Linked DNA regions of Coturnix japonica. The protein of the gene in region 1 binds, or shares a complex with, the protein of each later gene. Links are inferred from orthologs where the notes say so. Each region holds a gene or a part of one and is shown on either strand. Other genes may lie near its edges.

Region 1 (2,628 bases):
TCATCTTGATCTTGGCAACAAAGCATGGTGCCATAGTATTTATTTCTGGTAAAGATTCTTCATTCATTGAATATTATGAGAACTGTTTTGGGACCGTGTACTGAAATACCATACAGAAGTGCAGAACAAAAGGCTTTCCTTGTTTTATGAGTGGTCACATACAGAAATGTTCCTTTACAGCTGTTTGACAGACTCAAGCTTCAGGATGCCTCTGTGAAGAAGGGAGCTGACTCAAAGACTGTATCAGGGGAGCTAGCCCTGACAAGTGACTCTCAAACACCTGGATGGAAAGTTGGATCAGGACGAGGGAGAGAAGAAGATGAACGTGAGAAGCAGAAACGCTTGGGCAGAGGTGGAGAAAAGAAGGTGCCAGGAGACAGTTTGCATTCAGCTGTCAGAGGTGAAGCTGATGTGGGCAGCGGGACTGCTCACACAGTGGGTGCCACTGCTGGTGGTACCCGCACGAGGAGCCAGGCACGGAGAAAAAGGAGGCCCAAAGTGGATTATCAACAGGTGTTCACACGTCACATAAACCAGATTTTTATTCGAGGAGAGAACGTCTTGCTTGTCCATTTAGCTCATTGACTTGGCTGAGCCTTCGTCAGTGTATTTATTTGATAGCATGACTTGCTGTGGTAGCCCTCATTACTATTTAGCATTCTTGTGAGTATGGTACTGTGACAGGTTTCCCACTGCCATAACAAGGGAAGGGAAGTAATTCTAATAGGAGTATCCTGAGCTTACTGCCAAAGCAGCTTCCTTCAGTCTCTGCTGGGGGCCACAGGGTGAGGTCAGCAGCACAGTTTTACTCTGTGAGATGAGGGAGACGAGCACAGAGCCCACTGCTTAAAAAGTGAACAGCTAAGTCAGGAAGGTTGGTAGAGAATGTAATGCTCTGTGGGATGGAAAACCTCTCAGTTGAAGACTGTTCTTCTCCTGTTAATGATTGTGAGGATTTAATCTGTTTTCAGTGTCAAAGCTGATGCTTCTATTTGTAGTGCTGTGCTTTCGCCATGCATCACCAGCAAGCAGCTCATAGAGCTGATGGAGGGACCTCCACGTTTGGAGGACCCATCTCTAAATGCTGTGGATGCATATGGAAAACTGTACTTCTCTCTTTCATTTGCTTCCCGTTGCAATAGCAATATCTGCAAAGTTGTGCTTTTCCTTCTCAGATAGAAGTGTTCGTGCTGAGCACTTCATGCTGTATCTAAGCGCCTTTAAGTTCCCTCTGTTGAAACTAGAGGTGCTCTGTCTCCAGCTGTTCTCATGGAGCAGAAATTGTCATGGCTCTTCCCTATCTGTGTAAAAGTTAAACTCGGCTCATGACAGATCAGGCCGGGCTTCTGTGTATATAAACTGCTTCCCGAGAGCTATGTACAAAAGTTTGAGGTAAATAATGCTGTTAAATTACTTAGTCTGTTCTTCTGGATGGCAGAGGATGCTGGATTTCACGCTACTGTTTCAGTTTTCATACCAAATACCTTCTGATCCCAGCAGCTGTGGTGTGAAGATGTGAAACTGCCAGGACAACAGATAAAGCAGCTTTCTAGTGCTTTATAACAGGTCTTGTATTGCGTACAGAGGTCACAAGTCCTCAGGCTGAGCGAGTGTCCTCTTGAATGATGGATTTCTATTACACCAAATGCAGCATATTGCTTGTCGTTAGGGGTATGTCTGGTGCTTGGGTGAAAAGTTATTTAGCAGGAGCTCCTGGACATGCAGAGCAGCTTTACGCCTCTGGGGGAGCCTGAACCTTTTATGTCAGCATTTCAGATGAGGTGGGGTTGGATGATCAGCGCAGCCACTGAGAAGCAAATCAGAGTTCGGACTGGGACAAAAGTACCTCAGATTAAGAAGTATTGTATTGTTCCCACCTCCTGTTGTGCTGTTGTTGGTGTTGATGTGGTTGGCTATTCCCTCACGTGCAGTTTCCTTCTCCTTTCAGCAGTTTCTCTCCCCAGGATGTTCCTTTCTAACTCCAGTTTCAGAACATTGATCTCCTTACCCCTGGTGGCTCTTTCTGAACCTTTCCTGGTTGCCTTTCCTTGTACTTGCCAGCTGAACAGAATCCTCACAAATGATTTGCATATGGAGCTAGAAACAAGGAACTTCTTTCTGCTCCTGACGTCTCAGCAACTTTCATTACAAATTACTGTTTTTCTTCATTTTGTTTTCAGTTGTGTTTCTCTCTCCTCCAGTTTCTAACTAGTTTATTTCAGCTGCATGGGCCGTCTCTGCCTCTTCCATTCATGAATGCCAAAGGCTGCTGGTTTGACACCTCTCCCTTTTCTCTCATAGTTGACCAAAGGGTATTTGTTATATCTCCACTCAGGCCTACGTGTCGATACCCCATTCAATTCTTGTGGATTATCTTTCTAACCTCATATCCATATTTCTCTTTGTCTGCCTATTTCATCCTTTCTTATGCATTAAATAAGATACATCTGCCTTGAGTGTTTGTTCAGCTTTTGTGCCACTGACAGACACTCCATCACTTTCTACAGCAAATCTCAGTGTTTCCTTTCATAAAAGGTTTTTCTTGCAATCTTACAAGTGTTTGTTGTTTCACATCTGGTCATTTCTGTTTCTAGATTCCCTGACAAATTCCGGTGCTCACACTTGCGT
Region 2 (2,459 bases), on another chromosome or scaffold:
AACAGTACATGAATGTGTTTGTGTATATTGAGGTAATATGAGAATATAGTAGCTTTGTTAGTCCTCTTCTTCCTGGTAACCTGACCAATGAACCCATTGCTGTTTTCTGCAGGAGAATATAACCCCTAACCCTCTTGCTAAAGAAGAACTGAACTTCTTGGCCAGGCTGCTGGGAGGTCTGGACATCAAGAAACCTAGTGGCAGTGAGACAGGATTCCGACTGAATTTATTCATGACAGATGAAGAAGAAGAGTATGATGCAGCTGGTTGTGGTCTGGGGGTTGTGATTTAATGATACGTGGACAAAACCTGGAGGCTGAAGCTGATCCTTAACAGCTTTAATACTGCCTTCAGGTGATGCTGGGGCACTGACAGTCTGGTGTGTGCCTTCAGCACCCTTAGCTTTCCTGTCCTACAGTCACTTCAGAGAGATGCAATAAGTGAAGGGAGGTGAGGAGGCAGATAGGCTGGAGCACTGCAGCCCCCTCCTGGCAGGGAGACGTTTCCACTGCTTTACATTTAGCATCAGAAAACCCAAAGCAGGGTTCAGTCTCCAAAATGGGATCAGCATCCTAGTTTGCCTGCTAGAAACAGCAGTGCTGTCTAAATTTCTCATAGGTACGAGTCGCTTACCACCTTCTTGCATGGACCATTGAAAAACACTACTGACCTGTGGAACGGGTGGGATGTGACAGGATGGCACCACATTAAGCACTCTATATTTTCAATTAAAGGCAGGCGGCGCTGACAAGACCCGAGGAGTTCTCATACAAGGTTGTGAACATTGAAGCCACCGAGGTACGTTCAGCTGCAATTCACATACATTCAAACTACTACGATAAGAGCTTTATTTATCGCCTGGCTGAGCCTTTATCTCTACTCAGGAGCCGGCGAGGAGAGCGGAGCTGGATCGAATCATGGGCGACCTGCAGGTGGCGGAACAGTGCGAGGAGAGCTGCGGGAAGGGAGAGGACCTGCTGGCTCTGATGGACGGGTTGTGAGCCATTAAAGGCGTTTCTTCCATCCTGCCTCCGAGCCGACGAGTGGGGCGGGGACGAACGGGGAGGGATCAAGCGGGGCAGCGAGAAACAGGGGCCGCCCCTTCATGTTGCCGGGCGGTGAGTGGGATGGGGGCTAAAAGTGGGGTGAGGGAGCTGCGGGGGTGAGTGTGGGTTTTGGGTGGGGGTCTGAATGTGTGGGGTGGGAGTTGTGTGAGTGCATAAAGGGGGTGGGGGCACCCCTGTGTGCAAAGGGGGGGATGTGATGAGCACTGGGCGTGCAAGGGGAGGAGGCAGGCGATGGAGCTGCCATGCTGGTGTGTATATACACGAGTCCTGCAGGTGGAGGTGCTGGTGGTGCATCTCCCCATTCATATGCTGCAGCCCCACCATGGAGGTCAGCCACTCAGTCAAGGAGCGCACCATCGCCGAGAACAGCCTGGTGATCCTGCTGCAAGGTCTGCACGGCCACGTCACCACCGTGGATCTCCGCGACGAGAGCACGGCCACGGGACGAGTGTCCAACGTCGACGCCTTCATGAACATCCGCCTGGCCCAGGTGACGTTCACGGACAGACGAGGGGAGGTGTCGCAGCTGGACGAGATGTTCGTGGCGGGCAGGAACGTGCGCTACGTGCACATCCCGGATGGGGTGGACATCAGGGCCACCATCGAGCGGCAGCTGCAGGCCATCCACCGCGTGCGCTACTTCGGGGGCCGCGACAAGGGCAGGAGGGAGTTCCCTCGAGCCAAGCACAAATGAGCCCCATTCCTCAATCAACAGCCCAGCTTGGAAGCTCCATCCCTGTGTAATGGCAGCTACTCCTTTATCCCTGTCCTTATGTTTTTCCAGCTCTCAAACAAAGCCCTTTTGGCCTCAGTGCTTGGCTCTGCAGTGATCATTGCCTATAGGCTCTATAGGGCTGCCAGCTACTCCTCCATCCCTCTCTTTATGTATTTCCAGCTCTTAAAGCCCTTTTGGCCACACTGATCATTGCCTACAGGCTCTATAGGGCTGGCAGCTGCTCCTTTATCCCTCTCCTTATGGATTTCCAGCTCTTAAAGCCCTTTTGGCCTCAGTGCTCGTTGCCTATAGGCTCTATAGGGCTGTATCTATAGCTCCTGGGGCCTGGCTGCCTGCATGGGCCTGGTCTGAGGGTGGGCAGTGGGCAGTGCATGGGGTACTGCCATCATGGCGTCCATCTTAAGGCCTAGCACCACGCATGGGGGCGGTGGAGCAGTGCGCATGCGCGGGTGGGAGGGGGCGGGCCTTGAGGTGTTTCTCTTCCAATCAAAGCGCGGATAACATCCCGCCCGCCGACCAACCCGCTCACACAGCATGCACCAATCAACGGAGAGAGTTATCTCTCATCAGCCAATCAATCATCACCACTCAGCCAATTAGTGCTCGCCTCCCATCACTCTATCAACACCCCTCTCGCAGCCAATCACATCCGGGCG

What was found.
Region 2: LSM11 (region 1) and LSM10 share a complex: the UniProt entries of both Homo sapiens proteins name them as parts of the heptameric ring U7 snRNP complex. The link is inferred for Coturnix japonica from reciprocal best matches to the Homo sapiens genes LSM11 and LSM10.

Annotation. Positions count from the first base shown.
Region 1 is NC_029528.1:13,018,819-13,021,446, reverse strand, and holds part of LSM11 (U7 snRNA-associated Sm-like protein LSm11), read left to right. Parts: intron 1-180; coding exon 181-585; 3' UTR 586-2,628. UniProt on the Homo sapiens protein: Component of the U7 snRNP complex that is involved in the histone 3'-end pre-mRNA processing. Increases U7 snRNA levels but not histone 3'-end pre-mRNA processing activity, when overexpressed. Required for cell cycle progression from G1 to S phases.
Region 2 is NC_029538.1:3,591,235-3,593,693, forward strand, and holds LSM10 (U7 snRNA-associated Sm-like protein LSm10), read left to right. Parts: upstream 1-1,010; 5' UTR 1,011-1,118; intron 1,119-1,382; 5' UTR 1,383-1,389; coding exon 1,390-1,761; 3' UTR 1,762-1,879; downstream 1,880-2,459. Other genes in the region: protein OSCP1, read left to right, coding at 113-252, 735-798, 885-1,001. UniProt on the Homo sapiens protein: Appears to function in the U7 snRNP complex that is involved in histone 3'-end processing. Increases U7 snRNA levels but not histone 3'-end pre-mRNA processing activity, when overexpressed. Required for cell cycle progression from G1 to S phases.